Ovis aries: one gene and its partner. The protein of the gene in region 1 purifies or fractionates together with the protein of each later gene. This does not show direct contact. Links are inferred from orthologs where the notes say so. Each region holds a gene or a part of one and is shown in the gene's direction. Other genes may lie near its edges.

What was found.
Region 2: the proteins of HSPB1 (region 1) and G6PD fractionate together in Homo sapiens (co-fractionation; 3 studies listed by BioGRID and IntAct, with this or other methods). This does not show direct contact. The link is inferred for Ovis aries from reciprocal best matches to the Homo sapiens genes HSPB1 and G6PD.

The regions. Positions count from the first base shown.
Region 1 is NC_056077.1:34,783,028-34,797,954, forward strand, and holds HSPB1 (heat shock protein beta-1), read left to right. Parts: upstream 1-6,056; 5' UTR 6,057-6,106; coding exon 6,107-6,458; intron 6,459-7,189; coding exon 7,190-7,253; intron 7,254-7,351; coding exon 7,352-7,541; 3' UTR 7,542-7,666; downstream 7,667-14,927. UniProt on the Homo sapiens protein: Small heat shock protein which functions as a molecular chaperone probably maintaining denatured proteins in a folding-competent state. Plays a role in stress resistance and actin organization.
Region 2 is NC_056080.1:79,909,675-79,925,360, forward strand, and holds the start of G6PD (glucose-6-phosphate 1-dehydrogenase), read left to right. Parts: upstream 1-8,619; 5' UTR 8,620-8,652; exon of another isoform or gene 8,653-8,767; 5' UTR 8,768-9,006; coding exon 9,007-9,118; intron 9,119-9,253; exon of another isoform or gene 9,254-9,315; coding exon of another isoform or gene 9,316-9,397; intron 9,398-9,757; coding exon 9,758-9,844; intron 9,845-9,976; coding exon 9,977-10,104; intron 10,105-12,266; exon of another isoform or gene 12,267-13,071; intron 13,072-13,387; exon of another isoform or gene 13,388-13,480; intron 13,481-15,686. Other genes in the region: IKBKG (NF-kappa-B essential modulator), read right to left, coding at 2,777-3,000, 4,766-4,916. UniProt on the Homo sapiens protein: Catalyzes the rate-limiting step of the oxidative pentose-phosphate pathway, which represents a route for the dissimilation of carbohydrates besides glycolysis.

The DNA.
Region 1 (14,927 bases):
AGCCTGAAGGTGAGCACGCAAGTCCAGCCTGTCTCCCACCCAGCTGCCCCTGCCCCTCTGCCTTCCCCCTTCCCTGCCCTCCCTGCCCAGCCTTCCTCGTCCACACCCCACAGCCAGGCTGTGACCAGGCAGTACCACTCCCTTTTCTACCCTACCCCCGGCTCCTGGCCTCTCCCCACCACCCTGCCTCCCATGCCCACCTCCTCACTAGCTGGCCTGCCCCTTCTATCCCTGCCTGCCCCTCCCACCACATCTAAAATGCCAATCTGACCTTTCCCTCACTCCTCCCAACAGGCTTACTGAACACCTACTGTGTGCTCTGAGGACCCAGTACTGGAATTAATGAAGCAGAACTCCCCACCCCGAGGATCCCAGGACCATGTCTACCAGGCATAGGGCTTGGAAGGCATTCCAAATGGCCCCTGAAACTGCCATCCTCCCATCCCTTTCCTGGAATCCAGCAGACCCTCCTCCCTGGAGGGTCCCTCGGCCCCCCACATGCCCTGTCCTCCAGTTCCCTAGGAGCTCCCGGTTTAGGTCCAGCTCAGCTGCCTCCTCCTCCAAGGAGACTTCCTGATTGCCAGCTGCAGTGGCCACTCACTCCCCCTGGTTTCCTCCAGCCTTGGTCTGTCCCTGCCTTTAGGGCATCAGGCAATTTGGGCTTTTTGGTTTTTGGTTTTGGCAGCGCTGGGTCTTTGCTGCGGCACTGTTATTGTTTAGTCACTCAGTTGCGTCCGACTCTTTGCGACCCCATGGACGGCAGCCCATGAGACTCCTCTGTCCATGGACTTTTCCAGGCAAGAATACTCGAGTGGGTTGCCATTTCCTTCTCCAATAGGACTTCTTTGGGGGCCTCTGTTCTGCTGACCACAGGGGGGAGGTGACAGCCCAGGGGGAACGCAGGGCCAGGGCAGACAGGGTGCCCTCACCCAGCTGCACCAGCCACTAGCTGGGGGACCATGTGCCCTCTCGGCCTTGTGAGCTCAGTCCTCTACTGGTGGTCCCTGTACTCCAGACCCCCGACTCGAGGCCAGCTCCCAGCTTGTATCTTGGCTAGAGCCCCCATCTCTGACCTGCACATTTTCCTCATCTGCAAAATGGGATGAGTGACCAGGACCTTTGGATGGAGGGTGATCTGATCCAGAAACACCTGTGGGTTCGACAGGGGTTGCTGAAACTCAGTGCAGCCTCCTCATCACTCTAGGGATGTCCTGCTCAGTGCTGGGGGTGTTGCCCATTGACCTTGGACTGTGCAACATGACCGGCTCATTTCTGCTCTCTCCCCATCTGCGGTCCACCAGCCCCAGTGCTAAGGCTTCTCATTGCACCTTGGGGACTTCTCATGTTGCAGAGCCCAGAGACTGTCTATGCTGAGTAGTTTCAACTTGCAGGCTTAGGTGCCCTGAGGCACGTGGGATCTTAATTCCCTGACCAGGAATCAAACCCGAGTCCCTCGCATCAGGAGGCAGATTCTTTAACTCTGAGCCACCAAGGAAGTCCCAGAGCATCAAACTGTTGATGCAGTTATTTCTTGGCGTGTCTCGCTCACCCTACATCTGTGAGCTTCTGGAGCCCAGGCCATGCCTTCTTATCTTGGCATCCCCCAAACAGGCACCCTTGCGATGTTTGTTGAATGAGTAGAGGGGTGAACAAGGGAACTGAGAAATGAGGGGTTCGGCCACTGTAGGGGAGGGTGGCGACAAACGGCGAGGTGGCAGCAAGAAGACCCCTAGAGGGCGACAGAGAGAAGGGAAAAAACTGCAGGTTGGTCCCGGGCCAGAAGGGATACAAAACTGGCCAGGACTGAGAGGCGAGATCCCTGGGGGAGGGTCCCTGTCAGCCTGAAAGCCCGAAGCTCTCGTCCTCAGCACTTCGCTGGATACTTGGCACCTGTTCTCCTGAAAAGGACAGGGAGGTACCCCACCCCCTCCTGCTCCCCTGCCATCCCTCCCCCAGAGGGTTGAGCCTGCACTCTTCTGCTCTGACCTTGGGAAAAGGGAAAAACACTGGAAGGCAGGCAGGAAAACAGGAAACTTGAATTCCATATCGGGTAGCAAGGAGGGGAGATGGGGGCAGGGGTGGGGGAACCTTTGGAAGATGTGGCATTTGGGGCATAGTAGTCCTCTCCTCTGCATGCGGGGCCTCAGGGACCCCTCTGTCCACTCCCTCCCAACACACACAGCAGCCAGGAGGCTGGACAAGGCTTTCCTGTGTCCTGGCAAATCCGCCCCCTTTACTTAATTTGTCTCCTACAGCCCCAGACCCAGCGTAGCAGGTCACAAGTGTTCATGCCCAATTTGGGGGTTCCAGCTGACTACCCCCCTCCCATGCCTCTCTGAAACGCTCTTGGAAGCACCCTGGCCTCCTCCCCAGCCTCTCTTTAGCTGAGGGCATATTCAGCAAACCAGCTTCATCACCAGGCACCTGCCCTTCCCTTGCCAAGCTCCCCTCCACCTGGGAAAGGATTTTCAGGACACCCAGCCCATGAGGGTGCTCCAGCCACCCGGGCTCCCACCGCCAATGGCCACTACCCGCCAGGGATTCTGAGTCTCAGCATCCTCTGGGCCCCTCTGTCTCCTCTCACCATATGCCCGTCCCTGGGGGGGAGGGGCTGCAGGACGGGGCGGGGGAGGGAGGGAGAGAGTGGAGGAGAATCTGTTGATTCACCAGTGCTGGAAGGAGTCTTCGAGAACATCCAGTCCGATGGTCTCACTGTACAGATGAAGCAAATGAGTCATAGAGACCGGCCCCTGGCCAAGGTCACAGTCAGAGACATGGACGTCCCCAGACTCCCAAGCCTGACGGATTCTTGTTGCTGGTGGCAGGGCAGGAAGAAGAGGATGGAACCCCAGCCCTCCCTCTGGCCCCTCCTTGGCGCCCCTCCCCCCACTTCAGAGATGGTGGAGATGAGGTGACCCCTCAGGCCAGCCAGAAGCCAAAGGCTCAGTTAGGAGCTGGGTTTGTGGAAATGAACTCCTGCAGGAGAAGTATCTAGATGCTTCCAGAGAGACCCAGTGCCTCCCACCCCCATTCTAATTACGGCTGCCCACATTTTTAGTTCCCAGCAGGCCCAGCGACTGGCAATTCATCAGCTGTCAGGCCTCTCCTGGGAGCTCCGGTAGCTGCCTGAACACTCTCGAGCTTTCTCTGAGGCTGGGCCAAGGGAAGGAGGGGCTGGAACAGCCGCAGTTGGCAAAGGCCTGCCAAGGGAGTGGCTAATGCGGCTGAGGCCTCCGGCACAGGGCCAGGAGGCTGGGAGGCTAGTCTCTAGGCTGCTGCAGGGTACTCCAGACTTTGAGGCTAGGGATGAAGGGAGGGGACCCTATGATTAAGGAGTCCCGGCAGTGCCCACCTGCTCCCCAACCCCTTGGCATCTGGGAAATCCCTGGGGGTGGAGTTATCCCCTTAATCCCCAGAAAGCTACCCCAGGCAGCTCAGTCCCCTGGAAGAAGGGTGCTCTGCTTGGTCAGGGCTGGAAGTGAACCCAGAGAGGCCGGCCCCACCCTCCCTGTCCCACAGGTAACCCTGGGCTGCACCCCTCAGCCCACAGCCCTCCCTGGATGGACTTCCCAGGCCGGAGAGGCAGGAGGCCCCAGGTTCCAATCCTTCCACCCATCACCAGCCTTGTGACCTTAGGCCAGTTGTGACTCAGTTTTCTCATCTCCAAAATAAGACCCTGATAAGATTCTTGAGTGTGCTGTAAAGTGCATCCACCCAGTTATTTCTCATTAATCTAAGCCTCAGTATCCAAGATTAAAGGCCCTCTTTCCTCCTTTGTTATTATAACAATGAACACTTCTGAGCACCAGGCTCTTCGCTGGAGTTATCATGTTATAGATTCAGCACAGCCCTGAAAGATGGGTGTGTTGTTATCTGCCGGCTCAACGAGGTCAGCAGGCCAGTGAACAGCAGCAGATTCACACCCCACCCAGTCTGACCCCAAAACCCAGTTTCTCCCTCGCTCACCCCCTCTTACCACCACCTAGAGCCACCCAGGTCCCCTCCCTTGTGATTGGCAGCTCTGATCAGAGTCCCTCAAGAAGTGACCAACCAAAGATGGACGTGGGGAATTCCCTGGTGGTCCAATGGTTAGGACTCCACGCTTTCACTGCCAAGGGCCCAGGTTCAATCCCCTCGTTGGGGAGCTATGATCCTACAAGTCTCGTGGTGTGGGGGAAAAAAAAAAGTAAGATATGAAAGTTCTGTCTTATGCCACCCCTGTGGGTTGCACAACTTCCTCTGGCTGGGGCAACAGGGATGGAACCTCCCCACCCTGGTTTCAGGCAAATCGAAGGAAGCTCTGAAAGGAGCCTCTGTCTACAAGGTACTGGCGGCCAGGCAGGCAGCCCCCACCCAGAGCGTGGCTAGGCTGAACTTGAAAGCATCTGTGATTATATGTGACAGCTCCCGCGAGGGTGGGGCACCTGGGCTCCAGTCTGGGCCGAGGTGGGCAGGCAGGGAGCAGATGAGGGCCCTCCCTGGCTCCTGACCTCACCCTGACATTAAGAGCTGGGTTGGGTGGAGCTGGGAGTGCCAGGGAGCCAAGGCCTGGGGCTTCCTGAAGCTGAGACCCTTGGGGGTCGGGGCTGGGGGGGGGGGGGGGGGGCAGCAAGCAGAGTGTGTCTCGGGAGAAGAGAAAACAAGAGGAGTCCAAGGTGGGAGCTTGACCAGGGGAAGAGCCCTGAGCACTAGAGATGAGAGCCTTCCTCTGCTAGTGGCTTACGGGAGACTGTAGGCCCATCACCTCATCTCCAAACCTGTTTCCTCATTGAAAAAGGAGGGATACAGGACACATGTCAGGAGAAGGAAGGCAGGAGAGAGAGATTGTTAGGATTATGGCAGGAAGCTAGGGGCAGCATCTTTTCCCAGAGCGGGTAGTGGGGGCGTGGATCTCACAGGCGGTCAGATCGGAGGAGGGGCCGGCCTCAGGCTCCAAGCAAGTTTGAAGGAATTGCCCCCTCTCCGTCTGCGGGAATATTCAACAGAACAGGATCGAGGTAATAACCTGCCAACAGGGAAAGGAGCATTGGCCCAAATCACACAAACAGCAAAGCCCTGACTAGATTCAAGGTTGCTGCATTTCAAGTTCCCCTGTCTAGGGCTCCTCCAGAAAACTAGATATAATGGGGAGACTTGACCATAACCTTCTTCCTGACCCCTTCTCAGTACTGGCCCTCAAGGTTTGTGATCTGAGTCTACTCCACTGGGGTTCAGTGGGCAAATGGCCAAACCTACACATACCATTGCCTCTGCAACAGGGACACATACATGCTTTCCTTCTTGCCCCCTCCTTCAACTTCAGGGGCTAATAATAATTATAGATAATATATTATCTATATATATTATCTATATATAAATATAGATAATATATTCATTATCGTGTACCCTGGACTAAAATGTTTACTTGCATTGAGGCTGAATCTTCAAACCAACCTAGCGATGAAAGCATTATCATCACCACCATCATCCCATTTTCCCGATGGGGAAACTGAGGCAAAAGACTCTGAACTTGCACAAGTTCATCCAGTGAGTGGCAGAACCTGCATGTGAACTCAGGCGGTCTACCTCCCGAGACCGCCCTAACCACGCTGCTTCTTAAGGCATTATATCACAGACACACTGCCTTCCAAATCCTGGCTCGCTCTGCCAGTTCCTAGTTGTGCGCCCTGGGACTCACTGCTCGACCTCTCTCTCTCCCCTTGGGACTCACTGCTCGACCTCTTTCTCTCTTTCTCTCTCTCCCTCTCGGCTTTGTCCTCCCCGACTGTCCACAGATAGAGGCCCAGCGCTTTAGCACCCAGGCCTCCGAGCGTCCAGCAGTGGGCAGTGCTCCGACATCGAGGCTCTAGTCATTTGTTTTCTCGAACAAGAGAAGGTTCCAGATGTGGGCAGGGCCTTCCTCGCCCCGCCCCGCGCCCCGGTATGCAGTGGAGGGGAATGCAGGGGGAGGGGCTGCCCCCTGGCCCGTCATTGCCATTAATAGAGACCTGAAACACCGCCTGCTAAAAATACCCGGCTGGAGACCCATAAAAGCGCTACGGGGTCCGGCGCCCGCCACTTCTCCCGCTTCTCCGAGCCTACTCCGGACGCACCCAGACTAGCCAGCATGGCCGAGCGCCGAGTGCCCTTCTCGCTCCTAAGGGGCCCCAGCTGGGACCCTTTCCGCGACTGGTATCCGGCCCACAGCCGCCTCTTCGACCAGGCCTTCGGGCTGCCCCGGCTGCCCGAGGAGTGGTCGCAGTGGCTGAGCCACAGCGGATGGCCGGGCTACGTGCGCCCGCTGCCCGCCGCAGCGATCGAGGGTCCCGCCTACAGCCGCGCGCTCAGCCGACAGCTCAGCAGCGGGGTCTCCGAGATCCAGCAGACCGCCGACCGCTGGCGCGTGTCCCTGGACGTCAACCACTTCGCCCCCGAGGAGCTGACGGTCAAGACCAAGGACGGCGTGGTGGAGATCACTGGTAAGCACCCCCTGGCCCCCGCCCCAGGGACGCCGGCCCCTCGCCTCTCGCGGGTCCCGGGGAAGAGCTCTGGGTTGAAACATGGGCGGGGAGCCGGGAGAGGGGGCCGCTGGAAAGTGAAAACTTAGCCGAGGACGGGCGGTGGGGGGGAAGGCGGGGAGCCCCCAGAGCGGGGCCCGGCCTCTTCGCCCTAGCCCTGGTCTGTATTCTCTGGAGTTGGGGTTTGCTGGAGTTCCTAAGGGATCTTTTAGCCCTAAAAAGTCTCCACTAAGGAAAGCAACGCCCCCTTCCAGCGGAGACTCCCCTCAACCCCAGCCCTCGGACCTGAGGACCTGGCCCCCAAGGGACCAGGCCCCCCCGCCACGCCCCACCCACCCGGGCCCGCAGTCGGTATGAAGAGGGCGTCGCCCTCGCCGCCCTGCCCCCCATGCCCCCCACGTCACGGTCCCTGCTCCCAGCCCGGGTCCGCGGAGGGGGCGTGTGCGCCTGCCCCGAGCCGCGCTTCCACCCCCACCCCCCACTCGCCAAGCCCCTGAACCCGAACTTTCCAAAAGCTTCTGAGTTCCCCAAAGCTTCTGAGTTCCCGGGACAGTCTCGGGCACCCAGATCCCTCCGTCAGTCTTGCCAGCCCGGAGTCCTGGCCCGCAGGTGGGGCGCGCTGGGCTGCGAGCCAGCGGCTAGGCCGCCCCTCCCCGCCTCCTCTGACCTACTTCCCCTCCCCCTCCTCCCAGGCAAACACGAGGAAAGGCAGGACGAGCACGGCTACATTTCCCGTTGCTTCACTCGCAAATACACGTGAGTCCTGGCTCCGGATCTGGGGGGCGGCGGGCGGGAGAGGGGCGCGCGGGGACGCCCTGGTGTGTAACTCTTGTCCACCCTCTTTGCCCGTCCAGGCTGCCCCCCGGTGTGGATCCCACCCTGGTCTCCTCCTCTCTGTCCCCTGAGGGCACACTCACCGTGGAGGCCCCGTTGCCCAAGTCAGCTACCCAGTCTGCCGAGATCACCATTCCCGTCACCTTCCAGGCGCGTGCCCAGCTTGGCGGCCCCGAAGCCGGAAAGTCCGAACAGCCGGCAAACAAGTAAAGGCCCTTTGCCCAGCGGCCCACCCCACAAGTAGCCATCACTGACCATCCTCACCCGCCAAACCTCTATGTTCTTTTGATACGTTTGCCTTCTGTTTTTCTCAAATAAAGTTTGAAGCCACTGCCCGCCACTGCCTCAGACCCTGCTGGTTTTGTGAAGGAAGAAGGGTTGGTGCTGGTTTGATGTTTGCTGAGGGCCCGCTGGGCACCAAGCCCCAGGCTGGGTCCTGTGGGTGCAGTATCATCTGTCACTGGGCACAGCCCTGCCCTCCTGTACCCCTTGTTCATTAAGAGAGAAGCAGTGATTGTTCACCGGAGTTAAAACGCCCAGGGCTGGAGGGGGAGCAGGGGAAATTATGAGAGGCACTTGACCCAGGCTTGGGCACTCAGGAACCACCTGGGCAAGGGGGCAGGTGAGGGAAGACAGGGCAGGGCTGGGGGAGAGGGCTTCCTGGGAGCTCAGATTCCTGACTTCATCGTAGAGGGTTTGGACCAGGTAGATTGGAGGGGAGGTGTGGCCACCCCTGGCGGCTTTCTGAGGGGCGATTCCCCCAGCCCAGCCCATGTAGGCAGCACGGGACCTGGGTCCTCAGGTCTGAGAGTGCCCCGCAGAGAGTGATGAGCAGGTGTGGCTTAGGTTTTGGTGGAAGAGAGAGGCAAAGACCTGATGTGGGAAGTAGTGGCCGCAGGAGGGCCTACCTTGCCTGTCCCTGCCAGGAACGGCCACGCCTGCCTTGGCCCTCTTCTTTGTCTCTGCCCTCCCCACCACCCTCTCCTACCCACTCACTCTCCCTGATGAAGGAGGGTCTGGGAAGACCTTGGGGAGGGAGGAAGAAGATGCAGGCTTTGGAGCTCAGTCTGAACTGCTCAAGGTCTTGAGAGACCTTACAGTCTTCTCCACCAACAAGGTCCTAGAGCCTGGGGCTGTGGCCAAGACAGACCCTGTTCTGATTGCTCAGCCAGGCTTTGCCAGGGTTCCTGAAAGGAGCAGCACCTGCAGGGCAGGGCCTTGAGCACCCACCCACAACCATATCCCCGCACGCTGCCCAGCTTCCCAGTCTCTACTCCCTGGTGCAGGCTCCATGTTCGGACACCATGATCTGGAGCAGGCGTAAAGCCAAGGCAGGTCCCAGCCCTCCAGGGCCCCGCCGAACCTGGAGGGAGGCCCACAGAGAAATAAACACCTGGAATAAGGGTGGTGCTGGCCCAGCTGGCAGCGCGGGTCTGGACCTGTCGGCCCGGGCGCTGCCCAGTCCACCCACCCTCCCACCGCTGGTTCCCTGAGCTCTGATCTCTTAAATCTTCCGCCCGCCTCCCTGACATGCACACCCCCCACATCTCAGGTGTCTCCTGGACGCCTCCACTTTGCTGGGCCATGACCCAGAGTCAGCCCGTCTGCGTCTCACCCTCACTCTGCTGGCTCGCGCCCTTGCAGCTGGCAACAGGATGGACCTGACTTCCACGGGTGTGTCTGGGTCCTCCTGTCTGGTCAGAAAGAGCGATCTCGAGGCTGCCAGCTCCTCCGCCGGTGCCCTTGATGTGTGGCAGAGCTGGTGCCAAACCTTTGACAAGGTAATCCTCAGGCCAGCCCTGAGAAGAGGTGCCATTACTCCTGCTTGGCAACTGGGCAGCAAAGCCTCAAAGAAGTGAAGAGACCTGGGACTTCCCTGGTGGTCCAGTGGCTAAAACTCCAAGCTCCCAATGAAGGGGGTTCAATCTGGGGTCAGGGAACTAGATCCCATGTGCCACAACTAAGACCCAGTGCAGCCAAATCATAAATAAATAAAATTATTAAAAAAAAATAGAGCTTCCTGGGTGCACCCAGTAGTCCTGGAGGGCCATCTGAGTGACCACAGGCACCAGAGAGCAAACGAGCTCAAGACCCAGGCCGGGGCGGGGGTCTCCACAGCTTGAGCCCAGGGAGGCTCCATGGGGCCTCAGGAGGAGACGGATGGTGATGGAGGTGAGCCTGGGGGCCAGGGCCACTCAAGGAAGCCAGCCAGGCTGCAAAATGGAGAGAGCTGCCGGCTCTCAGGAAGACCCAGAGTCCAGGGCCATGGCCGGGGGCAGGCAGGGGTCAGCGCCTGGGTGCAGTCAGTGCTCCAACTGGAATATAGGTCTAGGGGCTCAGACCGTCCTCTAGGACACAGCTGGGGTATGAGGTCCATAGGAGGTGAAGAATTGGGGCTGCGGTCTCTGTTGGAAACCCAAAATAAGTGATGAGGAAGCAGGGATGGAAGCTCAGTAGGCTGCCTGGGTCGTACCGTCAGGAGCAGGGCAGAGGGAGGACCGAAGTCTGAGGCTGGGCTGGTCCTGTGTATGCCTGAGCTCAGCTCAGAAGATGTGGGATCTGGGACTTCCTTGGTGGTCTACCGGGCTTCCCCAGTGGCGCTAGTGGTAAAGAACCCGCCTGCCAATGCAGGAGACATGGGCCCATCCCTGGGTGGGGAAGATCCCCTGGAGGAGGGAATGGCACCCCACTCCAGTATTCTTGCCTTTAGAATCCCATGGACAGAGGAGCCTGGCAGGCTATAGTCCGTGGGGTTGCAAAGTGTCAGACACGACTGAAGCGACCACACACACACTCGCACTGGTGGTCCTGAAGAGGAAAAGTTAAAATTTTACATCACCTCCTGTTCCTTCTGCCTCTGTAACTCAGCTGGCTTTTTGCAAAGTCTGGATCACGTAGGTCACGTAGTCTCCAGAACGTGGGGACTTTACTAGGAGCTACACCTTATCTCACTCACCCTTGTCCTGCTCTTCGCAATTGCTCAGCCCCTGCAAACCTGCTTCATCATGCCTGTCCGTGTAAAGGTCAGGCATCCCCCTCCCTTAAACCAGCCTATTAGCAGCTAGTGTTGCCCGCTACAGTCTGTCTATAAAAACTCTGTAACCCCTTTGTTCGGGGCTCAGAGCTTGGAGTGGTAACTCCTCTGGGCCCGCCGGCATAATAAACCTGAGTTCTCCAACTCTCCGAGTGTGGTGCTTGGTTTCTCAATTACTGGTTTCTGTAACATTTCTGGAGGCCCCAGCGAGATTCCAAGCACGCCAGCCCCTCGAGCCGCTGGACTGGTGGGTGGCTCAGCCTGGCTAGAGCGAAGGAACCCTGAGACCAACAGGAGGCACGCCACTTGACGGTATTCCGGGTTCTCTTTCGGACCAGTGTTCTGACCGACTCTCTGGACAGCCAAGCCCTGACAGGACTCCGGGGAAGGAAGGCATTGTGACTGATAACCTCCTTGGAGCTCCCAGGAAGGCAGCAACAGTTAAGGAAACCTGGGGACTCTGGAGAAGGGAGGCATTGTGATAGCCTCTGAATGATTATGAGTGTGTGATTGCTGATTGAACAGAGAGAGAAATTTTGCTTCTTGGAAACTGCAAAACCAATTCTTTTTGCATATGCGATTAAAAATAACTAGCTTGTTAAAAGGCCTGCCTAGGAAAAAGCTTGAAGTTAACCCTTTCCATGTCCTTGAAATACACAGCCCACTTTGCCTGAGACCTCGGCCTTGGGCAAATTAGAACTTCAAGCAAAGAAGAAAAAAGGAGTCAAAGAGAGATTTTAAATCTCACACTGAGAACTATAAGATCTCTGTCTGTCTGGATTTATGTATGTCTCAGTGTATGTCTTTTGTTTTTTTCTGATAATATTGTTGAAGTTGTAAATGAGTTCTAATTTAATTGCCCTAAAGAAAAGAAAGCGCTTACAAATCAAACAATTCTAAATACAAGAAAAGTTAACCTAAACAGATTTCAGATTCATGTGAACTGGGAAATATTCAATATTAAATATCTAATATTAATGTTTTGTTTGCTAATCTAATAAGGATGTAGGATGTATGTTTTAATAAAGAAGGTATAAGAAATAAAATTACATTTTATAAAGGAAAAGGAAAGTTCTGACTTACAGATGGCTGTTATAGAAAGTAATTAAAAAGTTTGTGGAAAGTGGACCCTAAAAAAAGTTTTGTGCATAGTTAGGACTAAGTTTAAAGTAAATTTAATTAAGTTTACCTAAATGAGTTTAAAGTAAGCTGATGCAAAACTTGAATTTGGCCTTTCTCTCTGTTAAGAGGACATACTTTCTTCAGATGTTGAACTGCTTTTAATAATAGATTTAAGTTTCTTTACCTCTTAATTGTTCTGTATTTACCTTTGAAATCTTTTGTTAACTTTGGCTAAGTAAATAAGTATTATTTCACAGTAACTTATATGATCCTACCTGACTGAATATAGTTATAAACCCTTTTGACATTTATTGAAAAACTTCCTAAATAACTTGATTTCTAGCTAACTTTGGGATGCTTCAGAGGGCCCCTGAAACATCCCAAAGAGCTACTAAGCTACCTGGGTTCACTGGACATGTTCAATTATGTGGGAAGTACTGTTAGAGGGGTGAAAAATCTTATACTGTATGGTTGATGTTACTAATATAGATATCCTAAAATTATGTGAAATTCATATAGATCTGATATGCCCTGATAAAAAATATAGTCAGTTATAATTCTAGTTACCATATTAAAGTGTTAGGACCAGGTTTCTTTGTCAACCGCAATAGACTCAGATTCTAAACATGCCTTCTATGGTTTTACTCTCATGCCTTTGGAAAAATACTGCTAGTTCTTCAAGATTTATGGAGAAGACTTTCTAAGATTAAGCAGATTAAACAAATTTTGTTATTAACAGTAAGCTGGTAGCAGACTGGAATTTGGTCTTCTCTCTGTTTAGAGAACAAAGTTTTCTTAGAATGCAGCTTTTGATAACAAATTATTAATTTCTTTGCCTTTAAGTGATTTAGATTTGTTTTTAAAATCTTTGTGTTACTTTGCTAAAGTAAATAAACATTATTTAAAATTATGGTACGTGTAGACAAAGTTCATTCTGCTTCTACAAAAAAATAACCCCTCACGGTTAGACTTTTGCTATCTTGAGGTCCTTAAAACATGGCAATAGTCTGCTCCTAAATCAGGAAATTAAAAATGGATAAACAACAGCTAAAAACCAAAGAGCCAGGGCTACGGAAATCTAAGAAGGCCCCTGGGCTTTTCCCAGCTCCCTGACAGACCTCATTTTTATCTGATGGGATTAAGCCTTCCCTAGCTACAGTGTTACTGCCGTCACAATGAGTTCTCCGAAGAAAGAAAAAATTATGTTTCACTGAATTTTAAATTCTAGTTTTGTTAATTAAGGTCTGTGCTTACTAAGACTCACTTCTGAGATAGTTCCTTGTCATGCTATATTGCTAAAAGGTTTAATTAAGTTATTAAAAAGGACACTCTAAGATTGTTTCTAAAGCTTAACTCAGTAACCAGTCTTTGGATAAAGGTCAGATGCTCCATGATGTACAACCAGGAGATTAACACTTGGCTATAATCATGTAACTGAGTCAGATGACCTGGGGTATACTGGGCTATACCCAATGAAAGTTCTTGACTTAAATTCTTGCTTGTGACCTTACTAATAACTGCCAGCTATATTATTTTCTATGTAGCTTGTTTCAGAAGATTATTTCTTACGTTACCAAATGTGTGACTGAGCCTGTGATAAATGCAGATATGCAGTTCCATGTGAGATCAATAACTGTAATAATGTAACTCTAGATGTGGGAAGAAGCAACAGGAGGAAATATTTTCCTGGACCAAGAGGCTAGTAAGACAGGTATGGTCCAGAGACTTTTGCTACTTACAAGGCCTGTTCTAGTGACAACACATTGAGTGGCCTGTCAATGGAATCTTTGTTAGACCTGGGAATGAACCTTCCCAGCACCGTGGGACACAATGACCTTGAAATGCCCCCCAAACATGGTCAGATATGTGGCTATGAAGGGGCCCTGCTGACTGGAAGCTGGCCCTTGCCAGCTGCCTCTACAAAAATTACATTATGACCACTATAAGATGCTGACCTTCAACACCCTCTTGAAAGGAGTTCAGGATGGAGACAAAAAATAAGACACTCCGTGCTCTGGGAAAACCCTGGAAAACCAGGCCTCCAGATAGTCAGATGTTCTTAGGTAAAGGTTTTTATGAGTCCAAATTCTTACATCGTCTCCTACCTAGAGAAACACTAATGTCACAAACCAATGTCTGGCCCTGGATCTCCTGGCTAGCCCCCCAGCAGCTTTCCTACTTCTATTAATCTTTGGGCCATATATCTTTAACTTCTTGTTAAGCTTCTCCAAATAGTAGTACGACAAGAATATCTCCTGGCCATCACCCAGACAGTGCTAGAACAAGCTGCCCTATCATTCTCTGCACTCTCATCTCCCTCTGTAAATGCACCCTGAGGTCCTCAGGCTATTCTCCCTTTAAGATCTTATACGGGAGACCACCGCCAGTGATACAAAAGCTGAAGGGAGACCACCAACAACTAGCTGACCTGGAGATGTCCCGACACCTCCAGGCCCTGGAAAAGTCTTCCGCCATATTGCCCAAGAAATCTTAGAAAGGACACCGATTCCTTTGGGCAATTGGGTTCATCCTTATCAGCCAGGAGATGAGGCATGGGTTAAAGATAAGACAAAAAAAAAAAAAAAACCCACTTCAGCCAGTTTGGACAGGTCATCCTGGCAACCCCTACTGCCGTTAAAGTTATAGGTGCCATCCCTTGGATCCACCGCACCGAGTCGAGAAGGCAGCAGCTTCCTGTGATGAGGACACCTGGAAAGAAGCTCGGGACCCCAAAAACTTCCTCAAGGTCCAGTACCAAAGACAACAGCCCTCACCCACGAAGGACGCTGAGACCTGCTCTAGTCACTCTGGAAGCTGAGTAGTCAACGTTTGACAGAAGCTTGAGGATTCTTCAGCCTTGCTCCAGCCACGCACTGGCAGCTGGCTAGTCAATGCATGGCGGAAGCCTGAGGATCCGGCTATCAAAATATCGACGGATTTTCACTGTCAACCCTGGCCTCGATCCCTAATCGGTATTGTTGTTGGTCCTTACAGGACCAACTACACTCCCTGGCTGAGGTGGTTTCACAGAATAGGAGCGGGCTAGACCTACTGACAGCTGAAAAGAGAGGACTCCGCCTCTTCTTGAATGAAGAATGCTGCTTTTATGTAAACCAATCAGAAATAGTCAGGGACATGGCCCAACAGCTAAGGGAACAAATCATAAAAAGGAGAGAAAAACTAGCTAATTCCTGGGGTAACTAGAGCAATATCTGGAGCTGGGCCCTTGTGGCTTCTCCCTTTAACAGGTCCTCTCATCATGCTCTTAGCAGTGCTATTGTTTGGCCCTTATATTCTCAATGCAATTACCCAGTTCCTAACCTCTTGGATTGAATCCGTAAAGTTGCAAATGGTAATAGCTCAATATAGCCCCCTAAATGATGGGGAGCTCTGAATGTCCTACCAAAACATGAGATGATGCTTTCTACAATGAGTGATAG
Region 2 (15,686 bases), on another chromosome or scaffold:
CTTAGCAGGTAATGGTACTATTTTACATGTGACAGTGCTGGTGTGGTTATGTTTCTTTCAAAGTCATTTCTTAGAGATGCACATGGAACTTTTTCTGGAAAAAAATCACACGGTGTCTGGAATTTGGTTCTAAAAAATGGGTGAACTCCTAGATATCTACCTGAAAGAAATGAAAACTCATGTCGGCACAGAAATGTTCATAGCAGCATTACTCCTAACAGCCAGAGTAGAAATAACCCAGATGTCCATCAAATGAAGACTGGATTAAAAAAAATGCAGTCTCTCTCTATACTGGAATATCATCCAGCCATAAAGTGAAATGAGGTACTTGGACAAACTATAGCATGGATGAACCTTAAAAACATGATGCTGAGAGAAAGTAGCCAGACACAAGAGCCACACATTGCAGGATTCCACTCACAGGAGATGTGCAGGTACCTGGGGCTTGGGGGGATGGGACTGCGGAGTGACAGCTCATGGGGACACGGTTTCTTCCTGGGGTTTCTTCTTGCGGTTTTGGAACTACATAAAGGAAAGAGATGGTTGGCCAACTCTAAGACTATACTAAAAACAATTGAATTCTATACTTTCAAGGGACAAATTTTATGGTATATGAGTTTTATTCTGGTTTCTCCAGGGTTAACATCTTACCCCTATCACCTGCTGTCCATGTGCAAGAGTTTCTTTTATGTATACACCTGGGGTACAACTGACAAGGTGAGGGTGACCTGAACTTTCAACTTGAAGAAAAAATGCCAGATGGTTTTTCAAGGCAGTGTCACCAATTGATGCTTCCAGCAGCAACATGAAGCCATAGCCTCTCCAATACCCACTACTGTCAGACTTGTCAGCTAGCAATAGGGCTCTGGCAGTGGCTCTGATCGCTACTGTGAAGCCAGCATCCCATCCCGTAAGTACAGGGCAGGTGGATGCTCTGCAGGCATTCTGAGAATAGCAGCCTTCTCCTTCTCCCTTCTGCACAGGTTCAGGGTGGTAGTGGCTTTACTGGTGGCCCCAAAGTGGTATGGCCACGGCCTAACCCACAGTTAGGCCTAACCTGAGCACCAAAGAATTGATGCTTTTGAACTATGATGTTGGAGAAGACTCTTGAGAGTCCCTTGGACTGGAAGGAGATCCAATGAGTCCAGCTTAAAGGAAATCAGTCCTGAATGTTCATTGCAAGGACTGATGTTGAAGCTGAAACTCCAATCCTTTGGCCACCTGATACGAAGAGCTGACTCACTGGAAAAGACCCTGATGCTGGGAAAGATTGAAGATGGAAGGAGAAGGGGATGACAGAGGAAGAGATGGTTGGATGGCATCACTAACTCAATGGACATGAGTTTTGAGTAAACTCTGGGAGTTGGTAATGGACAGGGAGGCCTGGCATGCTGCAGTCCATGTGGTTGCATAGAGTCGGAAACAACTGAGTGACTGAACTAACCTGCAGTATATGTCAATGGCATCTGACCTAGAGACACGGTCACTGCAGATGTAATGGTGTGAAGATGAGGTCACACTGGAAGAGAGCAGGCCTCTGATCCAGTGACTCCTGAAAACTACAAAAGACTCGGACAATTGAGCAAGCTCTACTGTGACTTCTTGCAGCCTAAGGTCAGGACCCTGGGCCGACCCAGCTCCCTTTTGAGTCCCCATCTGAGAAAACAGGGCTAGCAAGAGAATGTAGTTTGCTCCAGCCAACATTTGACTGAGCACCCCCCCTTTCTCCAAGTCTTTCCTAAGAAGGCTCCCCACATGTGAACCCCTGCTCTGGCCCTTTGAGATGTCCGTGTACCTCCAACAACCCAGGAGAGGCTTTCTCGGGGACCTGAGAGTCATTCCTTTGAAATGGGATCCTCAGGAAAGACAGGGCCTGAGTCTACCCATCTCTGAGTAGGATGGAATCGTAACATCCAAGAACTGACCCCGGGGACGGACGCTGCTGACCTCACCACATTGACCCTGACCAACCCACCATGGGTTTTCACTCGAGACCCTGTCGCTGACCCCACCTCACTCTCCCTTCAAATCACCGGCACCCCTATGCCAATCAGAAGGGTGCCTGGTGCTTTCGTCTGCTGACCGTGGTTACCAAACAAAACCGGTTCCTACCCCTTTACCTAAAGGCCGGATGAACTGCTCTTTGACACTTGTGTCTTCATAAGATGAGGAAAGATGCCCAGACACGAGGGGAGAAGGCCACGTGACAGTGTGTTTGCAAACCACGGAACAGAGTCCTCCCAGCAGGTACCTGAGGCTAGGAGACAGACTTGGACCAGATCCTGCCCTCAGAAGGAACCAACCCTGTCCACGCCTGGATCATGGACTTCCAGCCTCCATGACTGGCAGACCACACATTTCTGTGGCTTCCAACTACCCTGTTTGTGGTACTCTGTTACAGCAGCCCCGGAAACCTGAGACACTCCCCAAGGGCCCCCACCAGGCTGTCTATACTGCCAGCAGCGTGATTTCTGGCCAGGCCCTGGGCCACATGTACCAGCTTGATCTCTGGGACCCAGAAATCAAGTACCTAAGGGGAGCCATACAGGCGCCCCAGGCCTCCGGGAATGACCACCCCTACAAGTCCCCAGAGGGCACACTCTCATGCATGGCTCCGTCTCTCCTGGACTTGCCCTCCGTTCCTTTATCTTTACTGATTTCAACCCATATCCCAGCCAGCTGCTCATCCTAATGCCGTAACTGGGAGGACAACAGCTTTCCCCAACTCCGGGAGCCCCCCACCCCGGTGCCCCCAAGCAGGCAGCCAGGTCCTTACCTGCTGGCATGTCTTCAGGCGTTCCACCTCCTGTAGGGCCTGCTCCCTCTGCTGGCGCAGTTCGCGCTTCTCTAGGCTCAGCCTCGCCACCAAGTCCCGGGCCTCCTGGAACTTCTGCATGAGGAAGGCCTTCTCCTCCCTCTGGTTGCCCTGGAAACGCTGCAGCTCCTCACAGCGCTCGCGCAGCATCTGGTTGCTCTGGCGGATGGCGTCTGCAGAGATAGCTGGGGCCAGATGAGCCCAGGGCCTGCGGCCCCCCACCGCCCCGAGGACTCCCCCACTGGGACGTCTTCCCAACACTCCCTCGTTTCGCCGATCACTTTCAAAGTCAGCTACGCGAATGACATACCCCCAGTGTCCACAAAAGCTTCACTTAAAAACACATGTCAGGGAGTCCCTAGTGGCCTCGTGGTTGGGACCCAGTGCTTTCACTGCCCTGGCCCGGGTTCAATTCCTGGTCAGGGAACTGAGGTCCCACAAGCCGCACAGTGTGGCCAAAAAAAAAAAAAAAATGTCAAATGTCAGTTTATTTGTTCTTTGTAAGTGACTCTGGAACTCATCTGCCTTCTGCATGGGTCAGAGCAGGCCCCTGGGTCACTGCCTTCAGGATCAGACTGGGGGCAAACTTCCCCGAGCTCTGCTGGCCCCAGACTGAGGGGGGTCTTGGGGGCAGGGCCAGAAGTCTCGGAGCAGGCGAGTTCTCTGAGCCTCACCATCCTCTTGTACACGTTCAATGGGGACAAGCATCCCCATCTCAGAGACAGGACGGGTAACATGGAAAAGCAGCCAAAGTGCCTGGTACACAAGACAGCTTCAAGAACCACTTTGTCCTCCTCTTCCCAGGCAGTCAGCAAGGGCTGAGGAAAGGAGAGCCACCCACCCAGGGACACCGCCAAGCAGCAGCTCACCACTGGTACTGACAAAACGGATCCATGGCCTGTGAAGGTGCTAACCACCACAGAACTAGATTAGAGGAGGCCCCCTCTCTGTTCAGAACCCCCAATGAGCTAAATAGGCCTTCTGATGGAACATTCTTTCGCTAGAACCACAATGGCTCCTGAGCCTGGCTCCAGAGCCTCCTTTTACGTACCACAGTCCCCATAAGACTCCAGCCCTACAAGGGAGCGACTGATCTGAGACAGGGCTTTCTGCCTCAGGCCCACGGTGCCCCCACCAGCCCCCACTGTCCTGGGGATGAGCTCAGACCACATATGTAGCTGTGGAGAGCGAACTGTCTCCCTGCCCCAAACTTGGCTGCCAGCTCAATGTGGCCCCAACACAGAAACATATTTAACGACACCTGGGGGATATTGTTGGTTGTCTTACCTGGAGGGGGGACGATTGACAGTCCACCCACAGTGGCCCAGATGTCCCTTCCCCAAAGCCACCCACGGGCCCTTCCTAGGAAGCCCCAGCCTAGCCCAGAGCAGACTACACCCCTTTCTGGAGCAGGCCACGCCCCTTAAATAGCCACGCCCTTCCTCGGGTAGCCACGCCCCTTTCCAGTATATTGTTTGATGCTTCTGTCCATGGGGTCACAGAGAGTCAGACACACGACTGAGTGACTGAATGACAACAATGGCTGATCAGTACGGAGACACAGGAGCCTGGCGGCCTTGGCCCGACAGGGACAACCCAAAAAGGTCACCTCAGCTCCAGAGCTCCTTGGAGGGAGGGCAGCCCAGCTTCTCCCTCTGCCCACCCCTTCTTCTTCACTGCCCTGCCCTTCCCTTCCCATCCCCTCCCCTCCCCAGTGTTGGTCCTGACTCTAAACATTCTGGATGGCACTCTGTAGCTGTGAGTCACTTCCAGAGAACCCCACAGGAAATGAAGGAAGGAGGCTAGCTGACCCAGAGCCACAAACTGGCTCTCGAGCGCCTGCCCACCTCAGTCCCAGAAAACGCAGAGGCACTGGGTAAGTGGGGTCAATTCCCCCAGCAGGGCCTGCTCCCCAGACATTTGACGCTGCCCGCCCACTGTTGCCCTCACCTCGGAGCTCTTGATTCTCCTCCAGACAGCGCTGGAAGGTCTCAGGGGTGCCCTGCTCTGAAGGCATGTGGAGCATGGCTGGCTTCCCCAGAGAAGACTCTTCACCTAGCATGTCCTGGTCCCCTGCCGGGCCACCACTCGGCTGCACCATCTCACACAGTGGACTCTTTCAGGGGGGCCTGCTCATCCAACACGTCAGGGCCTGAAAGAGAGTTAGCAAGGGTAGGATATGAAGAGACCTATACAGAATTCTCCTACCCTGCAGGACGAGGAGTCCTGGCATCACACTTCAAGCAAAATGATGAGCATGCTGGCAAGTGGAAAGAGATGCTAACATGGGCTTTCTGGTCTAAGAGGTAGCACATAGTCCCATTCCTAAGGGAGGTGCAGGCACTTCTGTGGGGCTTGGAAAGGTCATGGTTCAGCACTGCTTGTAAACTGTAAGCTGAAGTTAAGAACATCACCAGAGAGGAGAAATAACATAGAAAATTAGTTTTGGAGGGATGTGTCGGTATGCTGGGAATCCTACCCTACACACACACACTTCCAAGCATGAGTGGAGGTGAGTGGCCCCTCACGTAGTACAGTGAGTTGAATGATAACCCCCAATAAGGTATGTCCATGTGACATACCTTATTAAATACCTTATGACACCCAGAACCTGTGACTGTAAACTGCGGAAAAGGATCTTTGCAGATGCGATAAAATCAAGGATCTGGAGATAAGATAATCCTGGATGAGAAAGGCCCTAAAAGTGTCCTTATGAGACACAGAAGAGGAGAGACACAGAGGAGATGCCACATGAAAATACAGGCAGAGACAGGAGGGATGTGGTCACAAGCCCAGGGACACCTGAAGCCCCCACAAGCTGGACAAAGCCCAGAGGACCCTGCCCTGGAGCCCTCGAAGGAAGCACAGCCTTACCAACACCTTGACCTCAGGCTGTTGGTCTCCAGAGCCAGGAAAGGATAAACTTCCGTTGTTTTAAACCCCCGCCCCCACTTGTGGCTATCTCTTACAGCAACCCTAGGAAATCCATACACCAAGTAAGAGGGTCTTCACAGAGATCACTCAGAGCCTGGTGAGTGTTCTTTGGAACAGAAGGGCTAAAGTGGATCATCCCACGTTTGACGTGTACTGAGACATCTGAAAGCAGGGCCTGGGCTCACAGATGAAGGCAGGGAGGCAGAGAAAGGCTGAGCCATTTGTGTTCTCTTGTGACCTGGAGTAGAGAGAGGGAGTCTACGCCAGACAGCATCAACCTGGAGCCCTTTTAAGGCCTGCCCAAGACTGGCTACATGAAGAGGAAGCTAATCACAAAAGAAGTTTCCAGTAGGGCCTGAGCTGCAGCCAGAGGCTTGAACACCAGACGAGCTTGGACATTTCACTATTACACTGATGCTTCACTGAACACCCTACTAACCCATTAGCAGTATCTAATGGATCACTGATCCCTGATTCCAGAACAGCCCACTCTACTGGTTTCCCACCTACCTCACTGGCTGCTCTCTCTCAGGCTTTCATTGGTCCATCCTCATTAACCCAGCCCTTCATGTGGTCATGCCCTAGGGCTCTGTTCTGGGACTTTTTCTCTAATTTCAGTCACTCCAGTACTAATTCCATCCAGACTCAAAACTGTAGCCCTCATCTTAATGCTAATGATGCCCCAAATCAGAACTCTTTCCTGAACGCCCAACTCACACATCAAATGCCAGATCTCCACTTGGATATCCAGTCATCCTTTCAAAACTAACCTCGGTAAACTACACTCCTGATCATCCCCAGAGGCCAGTTCCATTCATGGCCTTCCTTGTTACCAATAGATGGCTAACCCATGCTCTAGCTGGCAGGACAAAACCTTCAAGTCTTTCTTGATTCCCATCTGTCTCACAGCTCACGTCGGATTCATCAGGAAATCCTGTCAAGATGTATCTTAGAATCTATTTGATGACACTTAGCAGGTAATGGTACTATTTTACATGTGACAGTGCTGGTGTGGCTATGTTTCTTTCAAAGTCATTTCTTAGAGATCCACATGGAACTTTTATTGAAAGAAATCACATGGCGTCTGGGACTTGGTTCTAAATAATGGGTGAACTGCTAGGTATCTACCTGAAAGAAATGAAAACTCATGTCTGCACAGGAATGTTGGTAGCAGCATTACTCCAAACAGCCACAGTGAAAATGACCCAGATGTTTATCAACTGATGAATAGACAAAATCTAGTACATTCCCATGCTGCAACATTATGTTAATAAAAAGAAACAACTCACAAAAGACCACATATTATGACTCCATTTACATGAAATGTCCAGAATAGGTAAATACATAGACAGAAAGACTAGTGGATGCTTAGAGCAGGGGTAGATGGGGTGGTGAGAGTGATGGCTGAAGTTCATGGGGTCTCTTTTTGGAGTGATGAAAATGTTCTGGAATTAATGGTGATAGTTGTGCAAGTCTGTGAATGCACTGAAAAACCAGTGAACTGTATACTTTAAATGGGTGATTTGCGAGGTATGTGAATTATATGTCAACGAAGCTGTTTTTGAGGAGTATGAATTAAAAATATCCACGAGTTGGTAACTGTTGAAGCTGGGAAGTGAGTACATTGAATTTACTAGACTATTATACTTTTCTATGCCTTTGAAATTTTACACAATAAAATGATAAGAGCAACATCACTATTCAGGTAATTATTGTAATAACCTCCTAAAAGTCACCCGGCTCCTACACGTGCCGCCCCCATAGTCAGTTCTCCCCACCGCGCCAGACCAGTCAGCCTGAAAGGTGATTCTGATCACATCCCTCCTCTGCTGGGATCCCTACCATGGTTCCTCATTGCCGATAGCTTAAAACCTAAAGTCCCTACCACTACCTACAAGGCCGTGCCCTATCTGTTCTCCCATTAAAGTGAAACTCGCTCAGCTGTGTCCAAATCTTTGCGACCCCATGGACTGTACAGTCCATGGAATTCTCCAGGCCAGAATACTGGAGTGGGTAGCCTTTCCCTTCTCCAGGGGATCTTCCCAACCCAAGGATCGAACCCAGGTCTCCCACATTGCAAGCGGATTCTTTACCAGCTGAGCCACCAGGGAAGCCCAAGAATACTTGAGTGGGTAGCCTATCCCTTCTCCAGCGGATCTTCCCGACCCAGGAATCAAACCGGCTCCCACTCTAAGCATTCCCTCGCTCACTCTACTCCAGGTATAGCGGCTTCGTTACTGAGTTCCTCTAACATGTCAGGATGGCCCATTCATCCTCAAGTCACAGAAATGATACGAGGTCCAGGAGACATTCATCGTTTTGCAAAGAAGCAAAATGATGCACATGAGGTGAGATACTTAGCTGGCAAGTCATATTTAACGCCTTCTTAAAGAACTTTAACCTGAAATGCACAGATGATGAACAGAAAATGTCTCCGACCTAGAAGAGTCATTCACAAACTAGGGGTGTGGTCAGACTCGGCGCTGGCGGAGGAAAGAGAGGCGGAAACAAACCCGCTCGCCGCCAAAGTAACCTGAGTCCTCAATCGGCCTGCCTCCGCCGGTGCTCTGGAAGTGCGCAGCAGAACCCGGCTGGACCGAACAGGAGGGGGAAGCCTGGTCATCCGGGGAGGGGATTTCGGAGGCGGCAGAACGCCCACCGATGGTACCCTGTCTTCAGAAGAGGGCCACACCTGTCAGCTCAGTCGGTCCGACGTGAGAAGGGCGGGAACGGCGGGCCCCGGGCGTTCCTCGGACCCCCGGCGCTCCGAGAAAGTCCGAGTTCCGCTGTAGCCCTTCCCTTCTCCCTCTGCCAACTTCTCACTTCCGGCTTCCGGTGTCTAAGCTGTCGGATCCGGAAGTAAAATGCTCAGGTCCCGCCCCTGCCTGGCCGGCCGGCGGAAGGTGAGAGAGAGGCTGCCCAAAGCGGAAACCTGAACCCACCAAGCCTCGGTTGGCCGGCGGGGCATTCCCCAGTAATTAGCGTCGCGACCTGCATTCCCCCTTGTCTCTCCGGCAGGGCCGTCCCCCTTCCCGCTAGGGTTGGAACCACAACGAGGCTGTCATCTGATAGGGCTGATTTGACCTGCTCCGGCGACCGGTCTGGCGAGGAGACGGAGCTGCAGAAGACCCCACCCACCAACAGGGTCGAAGGACAGGGTCAAGCAGCTGGCGGAAGTGGAGGCCCGCGCGAGCACGCAGAACCTCCCCGGGGCCCTGCGCCGACAGCCGGACTCTAGGGGCGGGGTCGGGCCAGGGATGGGGACACGGGCGAGCTGCGGGGAGCTGCAGGCGGACTCGCGAGGTAGCGGGGACACGGCACAGCCGCAGCCGAGACAGCAGGCGGCCCGCGGCTCAGCGGCCGGCGCAGGTGCTCGAGGGGCAGGGCGGGCCAGGGCTGGGGCCTCCACGGTGGGGTGGGGGGGCCCGGCCTGGCCGGGATGCGCACGCACCTGCCCGCGCCCTCGACCTTCCCCGCCCCACGAGGGAGGGGCCCGCGGAGGCCACACCCCCGTATCTCGCCTGAGGCCGGTCAGCTCAGCCCAGGCTCCCGCCCCCGCCGGTTAAATGGGCCGGCGGGGCTCAGCCCGGGGAAACGGCCGGGGACTTGGGGTCTGCGAGTGTGACGGGCGAGAGCAACGAAGCACAGGTAACCGAGTGGGCGGTCGCGGCGCTACGAGGCACTTTGATTGCCCAAACTTAAGAACGGGGCAAAATCCAGAGGGCCTAACCAATCTGGTACCCTGCGTTGCCCTCATGGGACCCCCCGAGGAGACGGAGAGGGCCAGGGACTTGCTGGGGGTCTGCCCAGCGTGGCAGGAGGAGGGCTGGAGCGACACTCCCATCGGCTGCACTACCTCGCACGCTCCAGCTCATTGTGGAATTTCTGCCTGCATCCTGGGTGACATGGTCTTAGGCAGATCGTACGCTGCGCCAGCGGCGTTTTACTCAGTCGCCCCAGAGCTGAGGCCCTAGTAAGAATCCAGTAATGTTTTGGGTCATTTTGTAGTATACAACAGAGAAGAAGGTTGCCCAGAGAGGATGGCCGGAGCCCAGGGCCAGCAGTTTCTAATTTCCCGAACATCCTGCTCCCCAGGTATTCACAGTCAATGGTTTCAGTAATGAAACATCTGCTGGAGGAGAGCCCAAAGGACTCCTCCAGAAAGGGGCTAGCTTCTCAGTGCTCCTCTCAGCTCCTGCCTTGTCAACTGAGTTTTTCTTTCACTAGAGAGCGCCATGGCAGAGCAGGTGGCTCTGAGCCGGACCCAGGTGTGCGGGATCCTGCGAGAAGAGCTGTACCAGGGTGATGACTTCCATCAGGCTGATACGCACATCTTTATCATCATGGGTGCATCGGTGAGTCTCCCCTACCAAGCCCCACAGCTTAAACGCAGCAGAAGGGACCTCACGGTGCCTGTGCTTTCCCAACTGCTCGCAGTTGGGCCCCTTGGGCTCTTGCCCCTGCTCAGGAGCCGCTGTCAACCTGTTACCACCCAGTATACACACACCATGAGGCATTTCTGAAGTCCGTGTGTAGCCATTGAGTGTAGACCTCTGTCTGGAGCTGGGAGGCCCTTCGGGACTGTCTGGTTGGACTTCCTCCTCCACAGGGGAGACAGAGAGGTAAACAGGGGAAGCAGTCCATTCCAGAAGGGTGTTTTCCAAACATGTTTCTGACTTGACAGATGTCACACAGTCAGTGCCAGAGGTAGGATCCAGGGCCCGATCTCGACCTTGTCTGTCTACCCTCACGGTCCCCAAAGACACACACTTGACCCTTCTTGAAACCCCATCTCTTTGCCCCGACTTCCAAGGCCTCCCGAGGAGCTGAGACCAGCCCCATTGTCCAGCCAGTGGAACTGCCACTTTGCTGTGATGAGAAAGGCCAGAGACTAGAAGCAAAGGCAGAAACAGAGCGTGCTGACCATACATGTTGGGAGGGGGTGGAACACGAGAGGGTGGGTGGGTCCTTGGAGAGCCATGACCGGCCCCCCCAACTAAAAGCACTTTCTCCATGTGCCACGTGGAAATAAGATCAACCCAGTGGCAAGACATGAGAAACGGCTGGAACGCTGTCTACGTTTCATCTCAAAGGGAAACTCTTCATCCTGGACGGGACCAAGAATCCGCTCCCCAGGATTACGAGCATCTCTGGTGGTGACTTACTGTATAAACCTGAAGCGAGAGTTCTGCCAAGCGAGTGAGCTCTTGACAGGGCAGGCATGGTCTCTCTGTCCCTTCCACACCCCTCTCCCCTCAGCTCTAGAGGAATTCAGCTCTTCATTCATGTATCATAACAAGCTACCGCCCTTTGCAGAACGTGTTTCTTGCCAGTTGTGTGATTCTGGTCAAAACTTGGAAAAAGAGCCAGAATGCAGGGCAGGGGGCTTTGCGCGCGAGGAGGGCTGTGCTGCTGGGAAGGAAGGGAAGGCTGCCCGAAACTCTCCCCTGACCGTCTTATCACCCCAAGACTGTAGGATGCCCAGGAGGGGCACACAGGGGGCAGCTTAGCCCCCACCCTGGCCCCAGCCTCATCCCTCGAGGCACCAGAAAGCTTAACACCTCGGAGTTGGTCCAAGAAATAGGTTGACAGAGAAAGTTACTCAGGATTATTTTTCCTCCTTCCCCCATCCCCATCCCAGCCTGTCCCAAGACATTCCAGCAGAGGGTCCCCAGCCTTAGTAAATTGCCTATGACCCTAGATCCTCAACTCCGATTAAACCACCTCAGTGAGAGCATCCAAGTGTGTTCTGTGGCCTGGGCCAAGTGTCTCCTCCTCTCTCAACCCCACAGTCTCCACTTGGCAATGGAAGTCTTTGGAGCACCAAGGGGCCCCAGGGTTCTGCTGAGCTGATTTGGTGACTCCTCCCTGCCTTCACGTGTGGTGGCCTTGGCATTGGGCAACATTGTTTCTTTGCAACCCGAGTAGTTCCCCTTTGCTCTTCTCTGTTCCAAGAGCAATCAGCAGAGGCTTCTAGGGCAGAAAGAGGAAGTGCCAGCTGCAGCCAGCAGGGCGGGGGGTGGGGGAGTACCAGGGCCTCTGAAGTAGAGCCTGTTTTTTCTGTTGTTTTGTTTCTCCCCTTCCTGCTGGGATATGTGGGAGGCAGGCAGGCGGCACAAACCTGTTACTCTGGGAGACCAAGGAGTTCACAGCACAGCAGGCACCTGCCCTGAGGCCCCCCCACCCCCCCACTGTGGGAGCCGTGCCTGGGGGCTGGGCCTGAAGGTGAGTGCATGTGACAGCAAACACTGCCAGGCCTTCACACCCCAGGCCTTGGGAGGCGCCAAGGTCCGCAGAGCCAGGGCCTCGGAGCGGAGCCTGCGACTCCAAAAAGGATGAGCTGTCTTCCGCCCCTCTCCTCCCTGCCGGCTTTGCCCAACCCCGCACCCACGCGCCCAGGTTCCGCCCCGTCCGAAGGCCAGCCTGAGGAGTTACCTGATGGCCTTGTAGCTGCAGCCGCTCCCTACTCCCTCCTCCAGACTCCCACCCTCAGTAGGAGGGCAGTGGACGTACTTACAGGACCTGGTCTGGAGGCCTCTGGAACCCAGGAACCCCGTTTCTCCTTCCAGACCAGTGTTGAGAGAGGAACCCTGGGCCTGCCAGGCTGGAGCCACTCTAACCCCCAATGGAAACAGAGCGATTGAGATGAGAGAAAGATCAGGCCGAGGAGCCCCCTCGGGCAGAAGTGGCTCAGTGCAGGTTCTGCAGGGCGGTCTTTGCCTTTGGGCCTCAGTTTCCCCATCTGGGCCATGGGCTCGATGAGTGCTCCAGGGCCCAGCCCAGAGACGGGGTCCTGCCAGGGCTGAGCTGGAGGACCCGGGCCCTCTCTCCTCAGGGGGTGCTTCTGGGCCGCCTCACCTCCTGGGGCGATAAGATTCCTGCTGTGTCACGGTGACTCTGGCGCTCCCCCAAAGGGCTGATGAGTCATGAGCCCCGCGGCCCAGGAGGGAGGCCAGGCAGATCTTGCCTCGAGGGGGATAGAGCCCACCCCTGCCCGGCCTCCCAACTTCTACTGTCACGTGCTCCACCCTAACACCCTTCGAGACCAAGGGCTCATCAAACTGGAGACTTGAGATAAGATCAGGGTGCTGGCAGGCCAGATGCAGGTGGCTGGAAATCTGCAGCAGGCCCTGCTCCTGCTGCTAAGTCACCACGTGGCCCCAGACTCCTCCAGACCCCACGAGCACTGTGCTCTCAGCCCATGTTACCTCCAGCAGTGCAACCAGGCCCAGGCTGCTGGGTAGGGGGGCCTCCTAGGCCTCTGTGCCCCCACCCCCGTCTGGGTCCTACCTCACTCCTCCCTTGGGTGAGTGACTCAGGCCGCTGGTGGCAGGGCTGAGCTGAACAAGGCGAGCAGGTTCCACCCCTTGCTAATCCCAAATGGACCGGTGAGGGCAGTCGGGTGTAGGGCACCGTGACTCAGCAGACAGGACACTAACCCACTGGAATTTGACCGGAAGCAAACATTCCTCTGGGCCAGGAGGTGCCCGCCGACAGGGGACTGATGGCTTCTCCTGCTGGAGCCCCGCAACAGGAGGGGTCAGCGGAAAGCGGGCACTGCTGGGCACTGGGAGGAGAGGGGCCACAGGGGTTGCAGCTGGGCTCCAGGGAGACCCCAGCCAGGGATCAGTGACTGACCTTGAGGCGCTGTTATCTCCAGGCTTCCCAGGGAAGGTGGCCGGCAGGAGGGGGCCCTGCTCCAGAGCCTTCAGCAATCAGTTCTAAGTGGCTGGCAGACAGGGGGCGGGGGCTGCAACACAGGGCACCCTGGTTTGGGAACCACCCACTGGAGCACTCCAGGTTCCGCTAGAGCCCGGAGGTGGCGGAGAGACACTGGCCCGTGTGGGCTGGGCACTAGCCAAGACCTGGGCCGGAGCAGACTTGTCCACGTGCAGATGTTGGCTCAGCCCAGGAGACAGAGGGTGAAGCCACAAATGGGGATTGAGCATGCTAGCCTCAAAAGTGGCCCCCATCGCCCCCAGCCAGGGGAGGACTCACCCACCTGGTAGCTCCCCAACTACCGTCCTCATGGCCCGTCTAGGGGTGCAGATTGCAATCGGTTCTGGTCCTGCGGCTCCTCTCTGCAACAGTCCACAGATGTGACTGCGTCCAGTGCTGACATGACTCTTAAAGGGTCATTTTGCCCTGAAGACTCAGGTCCTCACCCCTGGAGGTGATTTTCCTGCCCGGGGCGAGTCTAGCAGCTCTGCCCAGCAGCCCTCACTGATGACAGGGCAGGGGGCATAAAAGGGCACCTGCTCTTCACCCAGGCCATGCCCAGGCTCACCACCTCTTCCACCCAGAGTGGAGAATTCCTTTGTCAGGTCACCAAAAGCAAGCAGGTAGCCGTGGCTATGGCAGCTAAACCGGCCTGGAGAGAAGGGACTGGGTGACTTCGTGGGATGACAATGTTGTTGCTCACAGTTGCTGTCTTCACACACTTGCCATTATCTTGGAAAGTTTCACATGGTCAACAGCAAGCACCGCCCGCCGTCTGCTCAGTTGTTCTTTTCAGTCTTTTTATTTGTAGGCAACATTCGTACACATCGAAAGACATCTTCTCTGTCCAATCGGTTCTGACCTTTATAACCAGAGGCAACGTTTCCAACTCCCCAGCCAGTCCACCTCCTGCTGTGGACTCTCACTTCTGTCACTGTGGCTGCTTTGCCTTTTCTAAAGCTTCCCTTAAATGAACTCAGGGTGTTGAGCCTTGTGTGTCCAGCATTCTGGTTCTGAGAATTGCTTGTGTTGAGTAGGCCACTGGCTCATCCCTTTTTTCTTGGTTTGTAATCTTTGTTCTTGCCCCCTGCGTGGCTTGCAGGATCTTAGTTCCCCTACCAGGGATCAAACCCGCAAACCCCTGTGGTGGAGTCCTAACTACTGGACCACCAGGGAATCCCCCTGGCTCATCCCTTGGTGTTGCTGAGTAGGTGTCCCACTGTGTAGATATCCAGCTTGTCCATCCCCTGTTGATGGCCTTTCACTGTGTCCCAGCTCAGGGCTGTTGGGAATTATGGCTGCTGTGAACCCTGGTGCAAGTGTTTCCTCCACACCACCTCCAACACCAGATGGGGTTAGTTTTTTCAGATTACAACCTACTGGTGAAGGTCAAGCTGGATCTCATTGTGGTCTAATTTGTATTTTTGTGACAACTGGTCATCTTGACCACTTTCCTGTGTGTTAAGTAACCATTGATTTTTCTTGTTGTGAAGTATGTGGTCAAGCCTTTACCAATCTTGAATTCTTTTCTTGTTTTGTTGTAGAGTGGTTTTTTTTTCTTTTTGATTGACCTTTTTAACCACGTTCAAGTGTACTAACCAGTGGCATTTAACACATATCACAATATCGAGGGAAGTGGGCTATATACTCCAGATACTACATCTGGTGAGTGTTTTCTCCCAGTCTGTGGCTTATCTATTCATCTTGTTTTTTTTCCCCAATTCATCTTCTTAATAGTGTCTTATGATGACCAGGAGTTTCTAATTTTGCTCAAGCCTTCATTCATCCATTTTCTAGTTACTGCGCTCTGTGTCCTAGCTAAGAAATCTGTCTCTACTCCCCATCTATTAACTTTTTCAAACCTAAAATATTATTAATTGTAATAATTTGCATAAAGCTTGGTTTTAAGTGGTTTTCCTTTTTTAAATGGACAGGTGGTCAGCTAGAGACCAGGCCTGCATGACACTTCCTTCCCCACCTTGTCGTGTGTCTTGTTCTCTGCCTGCTGCTGGCGGGGCTTCTGGTGGGGTGTTGAGTAAAGAGCCGAAGACAGGCCCTCTTTTCTTGTTCCTGGTTGTTGAAAGAGGATTATTTCAACCTTTCCCTACAGTATATGATGTTTGTGGAGCTTTTAACAGGGTCTGCTTAGCAAGGTGAGCAAGTCCCGTTTTATGCCTAGTCTGGGAAGAGGTCCTATCGTGCTAGGTGTTGAAATTTT